Coturnix japonica: one gene and its partner. The protein of the gene in region 2 interacts with the protein of the main gene of each other region in a pairwise test. Links are inferred from orthologs where the notes say so. Each region holds a gene or a part of one and is shown on either strand. Other genes may lie near its edges.

Evidence for each region.
Region 1: the proteins of RXRA (region 2) and NR0B2 interact in a two-hybrid assay, tested with the Homo sapiens proteins (2 studies listed by BioGRID and IntAct). The link is inferred for Coturnix japonica from reciprocal best matches to the Homo sapiens genes RXRA and NR0B2.

The regions. Positions count from the first base shown.
Region 1 is NC_029538.1:1,621,961-1,626,171, forward strand, and holds NR0B2 (nuclear receptor subfamily 0 group B member 2), read right to left. Parts: upstream 2,801-4,211; 5' UTR 2,621-2,800; coding exon 2,095-2,620; intron 1,658-2,094; coding exon 1,377-1,657; 3' UTR 399-1,376; downstream 1-398. UniProt on the Homo sapiens protein: Transcriptional regulator that acts as a negative regulator of receptor-dependent signaling pathways. Specifically inhibits transactivation of the nuclear receptor with which it interacts.
Region 2 is NC_029532.1:5,859,644-5,863,143, reverse strand, and holds part of RXRA (retinoic acid receptor RXR-alpha), read right to left. Parts: intron 2,251-3,500; coding exon 2,121-2,250; intron 25-2,120; coding exon 1-24. UniProt on the Homo sapiens protein: Receptor for retinoic acid that acts as a transcription factor.

The DNA.
Region 1 (4,211 bases), on a different chromosome or scaffold from region 2:
GCACGGATGGGCAGCACACAGTTCTCCCAGCAGGCTGCTGTTCAAACACGGTGTGTTTATGGTGGTGGGGAGCCAGGAGGCTTTGTATGGCTGTTCTCCTGTGGGCTGAGGGCTGTGTGTGCACATCCAGGTGAGTCAGCACCAACCTCCTGCATCAGCACCTCCAGGTGTGGCTGTGTGCGTGAAGGAAGGTGCAGCACAGACAGGCTGCAGTTGTGCTGCCTCTGCAGGTTTCAGTGCACAGAGCAGTGTGTGCCCAGCACAGCTCATGGGGCTGCATTGCAATGCTCCCCTATGATTCCCTATGATGCTCCATCCCTGCATTCAGGTGTCCTTCCCACACTGTACCTCCAACAGCTATTTCTACAAGTCCAAAATGCCAGAAATATAACAAAAAATCACCAAAATGTGACACGTTTTTATTAAAAAAATAATTTACTGCATCTTATGTACAAATCAAATGAAGGTCCGCTCATTAAATACTGACATCAGTGACAAAAGCTGCAGGCAGGAGAAGCGAGCTTTCCTACTATGTTGAACCAGCTGGAACTCAAGGCAGGGATGTTTGTTCAGTGTCTGTAGCTCAGTGTGTTCCTGAGCCATTCCAAGTATTGCCATATATATATTGAGGTGTATAGGGAGGATGAAGTGGTGTTCATGCAGCGTTATTTGCCGTACGTTTCACTGCTCTTAGGTAATCCAATCTGTGAGCAATCCTGTTGCAGCTCATGGCATCGTGGGGAGGAGATGCGATGTGATGAGAGGCAGGAGGCGTTCATGAAGCTGGCTGCACGCCCTGTAAGATCTGATGCTTCTCCCTCCTGCTGTCTGAGGAGGATTCTTGGTGGCTGTCTGTGAGATTTCATGCACAGCAGACACTGGCTGATACTTAAAGATCTAATTCCTTACGGCTTGCACCTGGTTGTACTCTACAAGTGATACCACCGAAGATACTCAGCACCCCTAAATACCACTATCAGCACAGAGCCATCACGGGCAGCAAGTTGAGGTCCAACCTCATCTCATGGAGTTAACAAAACACACATTGATTTTAATTGAACTGAGGATTCACTGAGATATAAAAAGCCTGGAGCAGGCTCTAACTCAGTCTGCTCTGTGTCACAGGGCTGGCCTGCTTGCTAGAAACTCAGTACCACCAGCCACACACACTCACATTCCTCAAAACAGACTGGCAGAGGTGGAGCAGCCATGCTGAATCAAGGCTGCTTTCCTTTATGCTCTGAGCCCTACAGCCTAGAGAGAGGCACACGCAAAGCCCTGTGGAGCTGAGTGCCTGACTGCCTGCTCCACAGTCCTCCCTGCTGCCCTGCCAGGTGTTGTTGAGCACCCCCAGGGCTGTGGCAGAGCACAGCAGCTCACAGAGCCACGCGTGGTGAAGGAGCCGGCTGCCAGCTGGTGATTTCATACAGCATATCCACGATGAGCTCGACAATGTCTGCGTTGCCAATGATGGGTCGGAAGAAGAGGTCTGTGATGAGGGCAGGAGGGATGGATTTCAAGGTGGAGGTGATGAGTAAAATGAGGGTAAAGCGGTCCTGGTCCTTGGGGTGTAGGATCTGCACAACTTCCTGAAGCGCTCGCTCGGCTTCCCGCTGGAGGCTCTCGATGTACAGGGAGGCTGTCAGCCCTGGGACATCTGCCAAGAGAAAGGAGGGAAGGATGTGAAGAGGAAGGCTGGAAAACAGCTCGAGGTTTCTCCCATCTCTCTCCCCGTATCTTGGAGAAAAACCTCAGAGCCATTAACAACATGTATTTCAGGGCTGTTGCTTTGAGGGAGTAAATACAGCTAATGAAGCAAACATGGGCTTTGTAGAGTAAGACCCAGGGTTCTTTGATTGCAAGGTAAGGAGGTCTCTGCTTTTAAACACTACATTTTCAGTATCCCTCCTCCCTGCTTCCCAGAGGTAAACTGCATTGCTGGTGCTAATGATGTGAGCAGCTCTCCCTGCTCTCACACACACTTTTGCCCAAACTCTGAGCGACTCCAAGCCAAGAGCAGTGTTTTTAAATGCTAACTCATGCAGGGCTTTCTCTTGCCACCAGCAGGCAGAGCTGGGAGGGTTGAACACTCACCAGGATTAAAGAGAATGGCTCCCTTCAGGTAGGCGTATTCTTTGGGGCTCAAGTCCAGGCTCCAGAAGGTGTTGAGGCTGCACTGCAGCCACTGCACAGCGGCCAGCATGGGCTGAGTCCACTCAGGCTCCTGCCTTTTGCTTTGGCCATCGAGGAGGATCTTCTCAAGCATGCTGGGGGCTGGGGTCTCCATCACCTCAAATGTCACCGTCTCCTGGACCAGCCCCAGGAGGAAGAGGGGGACCCAGCAGCTGTCCAGCAGCAGGAGCTGGTCCCCTCGAGGCAGCAGGTGGAAGGAAGGGAGGTTTTTCATGAAGCTGATGGTTTTCACCAACACGTCGGATGCAGCTTGGCAGGTGATATGGGGTGTCCGGAGGCAGACCGTCCAGCGCTGGTGGCACAGGCAGCGTTGGTGAGGTGGGCTGTGGCTCAGGTTCTGGCTGAGGAGGGTGTAGAGAATGGCTGGGTGTTTGTCTTCATGCTGGCACTGACACCTCTCGCAGTCCATGTCTATGCTGCTGGTCATCAGAGCAGAACTGGGAGCCCCGGATCCTCTGTGAAACTCCGCAGATGGGAGAGACCTGTAAGTTTCCTCCCCGTCTCAATCTGGGAGTGACCTGTCCTCCCAGCTCTGCCAGCACATGGCTGTTCAAACAAGCTCTTATAAGGCTCGGTCACAAGTGGAACACCCCTTCCCAGCCTTGACCGCTCCGTGATTAAGCGGTCCTCATTAAAGAAGAAAAAAAACAACAAAAAAAAAAAGCCACCAACCCCAGCTGTCCCCAGACTGATTGGCTGGAACCAGCAGGATCTCAGCATGGCGTCAATGGCCGTTTTCTCAATGAAACCCCAGCAGGGGCAGCGGGTTGGGCAGCCTTATCACAATTACCCAAACAGTATAAACAAAGTCATTAACCCGGGCTGTACCATGGCACCAAGGCCCCACGCTGCAATCAGGTTGTGCTATCTGGCAGCTGTCGCTGCCAAGGAGTTCACACACACACACACATACACACACACACATACACACACAGGGTGTTCGTCTGAAGCGAGGACCCCATGGCAAATGGCCTTGGAAAGAGCAACCTGGAAGTCATTTTATCAGCAGCTGTTTGCCTAACCTTGTTGACAGGAGATCGGTGTTGTTGCAGTTAAGGAAGGTGGTGAACTGAAAGACTAAACCTAAAGGCAGCAGCCCATTGTGCTGAAGGAGTAATGCTGGGTAGGTGAGAGGCAGGTTTATAGGTTTTTACCTTGAATTGCTCTGGAATTTGTATGTTTTGATCAGCATTAGTTAAATGACAGCACACAATTATGGATTCCAGTGGGGCCTGTGAGGAATTCCTCACACAGGGGGTGCCTGGTGAACCCTGTGAGGATGGGAACAAGTGATTTGGCAGGACACGGGGAAATGGTTTTAAGTTAAAAGAGGGAAGATTTAGGTTGGATGTTAGGGGGAAGTTCTTCACTAGGAGAGTGGTTAGGCCCTGGAACAGGCTGCACAGGGAGGTTGTGGATGCCCCGTCCTTGGAGGTGTTCAAGGCCAGGTTGGACGGGGCCCTGGGCAACCTGATCTATGGGGTCTCTATGGGGTCTCTATGGGGTCTATGGGGTCTATGGGGTCTCTATGGGAATCTATGGGGTCTATGGGGTCTCTATGGGGTCTATGGGGTCTATGGGGTCTCTATGGGGATCTATGGGGTCTCCTGGGCAACCTGATCTAGTAAATGTGTATGTTTTATGGCCCTGCCAGGCAGGGGGTTGGAGCTACATGATCCTTGAGGTCCCTTCCAACCCGGGTCATTCTGTGATTGATTCTGTGATTTAAGGGCACGCAGCTCTTGGTGCACAAATGGGATGGAACTGATGGCCACACTGATGGCTTTTCACCAAAAAAACACCCATCTACCTGCATTTGTCGGCCAACACAAGTCAGCCTGGGGAAGCGGCAGCACCTGCTGATTGATTTAATGGAGCAATAGGAACCCTATGGGGATAAGGACCACTCACTCTAATGCACACAGCTCTCAGTGCAATGGAGTGAACCCAGCAATGAGGCCTACAGCAGCCACAGGGACCAGCATAGCCTGTCCATACTGCAGATTACAGGCTCTTTG
Region 2 (3,500 bases):
AGGCGATGAGGAGCTCATTCCAACCTGCAGAGAAAACAACAGAAAGGCCATGGTTCAGAACCGTGCATCTTCACAGTGTGGGAATCAGCCACATCCATTGCCCTGGCAACAGTGCATACAATGGCTGAGATGGCATGGCTTCTGTAGCTCGGTATCTGGAGGAGCAGCACTGCTCCATGGGCATCCCACATGGCCATGACCGTGCCTTGGAAACCAGCTTGAGCTCCCCTCCATCCACAGCAATGTGCCTTTTCTCATTGACTGCAATAAACACAAGGTCCATGCGTGCTGTGTTTACCTACAGCTGCAGCAATGGGTTGTGCCACTCAAAGCATTACCAGGGAATAAAGTTCACTGTTCCCTAAGTGGCCACAGGACGGTTCCGCCCCAATCAAGGGACCATTTATTTGGTTACACGCTGGGTGAGGTCTGGCACTTGCAGAGGGATTGCAACACTGAGAACAGAGAGACTGCAGGAAGCTGGAGGGGACCTGGAGAGATGGTGACTCATGGAAAGGTGCTGTGGGCTCAGCCCTATAAAAGGAACCAGAACCAGGCTCTCCCCCTCTCAGTCCTATAAAACATTACTGCTGTCTCAGCCGTAGCAGGTTTGGCACAAAGGAAAACCAGGCAAAACAAGCTGAAAAAAAGTTGGGTTTCCTCCTCCAAAAAGCCCAAAGAGGGAAGGTTTTAAATGATTCAGGACTGCAGAGGAAGGCTGCAGCCACCACCCAGCACTGCTCCTCCATGCGTGCTCCACTTAGTTTTGCCTCAGAGGATGCATGAGTGCACCTGATGGAGGCTCTTAGCTATATTTTAATACTTAAATATTTCATGGGCAGCTGTGCTCTCGCCACTCAATAATAGATAAAGCCACAGCTTAAAGGACTTGGGGGAGGTTATCTGAGGCCCCTGCAGAGATGCTGGGAGTGGGGAACCTGTGGGAGCTCCTCATGCTTATGAACCCATGACAAAACTCCATGATGGTGTCTGCAGCCCCCACCCTCCCTTCACCAACACTGAGACAGCATCAGTTCAACCTTCAATCTCTTGTTCAACCTTCCTCAGCCCCCTTTAGACAAACAATTGCAGCAATTACAGGATCACAAAATGGTTTGAGTTGGATGGGTCCCTTTAAGGCCATCAGGTCCCACTCCCTGCAGTGATTAAGGACACCCACAGCTCCGCAGGGTGTTCAGAGCCCCTCCAGTCTGACCTTGGCTGTCTGCAGAGATACGACCTGTGCCAATGTCTCACCACCCTTAGGAACTATTAGGATTCATGCACTTGGGATACAACTCTAAGTGCATCTGGAGGAAAATATGGGAACATTAAAACTACTGAGGTCTTTTCCTTTCCAATCCCAATTTCATCCTCCTTCCCACTGAGTTTGTCATTTGCTGGAAGGGGTTTCCCACGTCCCACCAACAACTTGCCTGCCCCTTTGTTTCAGGGAACAAAACTGCTGCGTTGACTCAAAGCCTTTGTACTCACTTCTCTGATGATGAGAGCTATGTGAAGAGCTTCGTGCCTACAAAGCACCCTCATCGAGTCTGCTTGTAATTTCCTGCTCCCCCCCCCCCCCCATTAGCCCTTGTGAAGGACCTGCCAGCAGCTGAGGCTTGCGTTTACTTGCTGGAAGAAGACCTCCTTCCCAGCTGACAGCCTGTAACCTCCCAGACCCCCTGCAGCATAAGGAAATTTAAAATAAACCCAAAGAACTTCATTTTCATCTTGGTGGGTGGGAGTGGGAAGGCGATATATATTTTTCTCCCCCGTCTGCTTTTAATTATGATCAAACATTGCAGTTCTATGACATTTCAGACAGACTCAAACCCCCTTGTCTTTCCAGTCCCAGCTCAGGAGGATGCTGGCACATCATGCCCTTGATTTCCTGAGCATCTCGTTCATCACACACAAGGCCGGGCCATTTTTCAGCCCATTGGCAGCTGGTGCAACGTTCTGGATCCCATTCAGCAATACATCCCTTGGGGCTTTGTCAATCATAGTTAGCAGTGGAATGATCTGAAGCTATTCCTCAGATGCAGCTAAAGCCTCTCCAGTTGCCAGCACCCAAATCCCAGCGTGACCATTGAGGGATGCAGTGCATCGGGGCTCACCGGCCCTGAGCAGGATGACCTGGTCGTCCAATGGCAGCGCAGAGAACCTGGGGATCCTCTTGGCCCACTCCACCAAGGTGAAGAGCTGCTTGTCGGCCGCCTGGCAAATGTTCGTCACCGGGTCATTAGGCTGCAAAGAGGAGATGGAAAGGTTTAGAGAAAGCAAGGAGAAAGATGGGAGGAGTAGGAGAAGGAGGGAAGGGGGTGCTGCCTGCTTGCTCCCCAAGTTTGGGAGCTCTGTGCTCAATTTAAGTGGGTATCATCTGCAGGGACCCTGCAGTGTGCACAGCCCAAGTGTAAGCACCTCCTCATTGCACCCCACAGCATGGAGCGGGCATCACAGTAAGGAGAAAAACCCTCTCCTTTGAAATATTACCCAGTAACACAAACCATCTGCTCTCAAGGAGGACAGTCAGCCTAAACACACCAAATCCCTGTTTAAAGGAACTGCTAACAGCTCAAGTGGACTTGTGATTAGGAATGGGAAGAGACCGTCTAACCCCAGCAAAGACAGACCCTGCCAGCACAAGTGTGTATATATGGTTTACCTCTCCGGACAAGGATGTATGAGCCCCTCCACATATCCCGCTGTAATCCCCACTGATACCTAGCAGCTCTGATTGTACAATTATTTTTCTTTATGTCCTTAAAAGAACAGTTTCAAACTCAGAGGAGGAGTGTTTGTTGCACCTCTGCACTGCATGAGGCTGGGGCATGGGTTCTGTGCAGGCAAGGCAGGAGTTGCCCCAGGCACATGTCTGTGTCCCATGGTGTGCTCCCTCCTTCTCACCTTCTTTCTGCCACCCACATTGCTGACTTCTCACTTTTCCACTCATATTCCCTCAATATTGTGGACTTTGGGGTACCTGCCCAGTACACTGGGGGACTCTCTGCATGCAATACATGCCCTTTACCCAGCTGCATGGAGGGAGCAGGAGGTGAGCACACCATAAGGGATGCATTGGCCCCAGGGGATTGAAAGGGAAAAGGTCAGAGACTAAAACAGTGTGGAAAGAACCCTTCCCTTACTGACTGCAGAGCTGACCGTGTGCTCACAAACCAAAGGGAGATGAGAAATGCCACTCTGAGAAAAGGAAAAAGCCCTACAATTCTGCCCAGAGCCATTCCTATGTTCCCCTGCCTGGGTGGCTCTGCTGTTTCCTGGCAGCAAACACCACCTCTGTGTCTCAGTGGCCAACATCTCTCATCTCCAGGCTTAAAATAACCAGCATCTGGCAGGAGCAGGAACACCCGCCTTCAAAGTATTCTCACCTGTTGCTCACAGAGATGGATGGGGACGGGCTGGCACTCAGCACCATGGGTCGAGGGGAGCGTTATGGGGATGGTCCCCCAGCTTCACTTGCTTATCAAGAGAGCTCA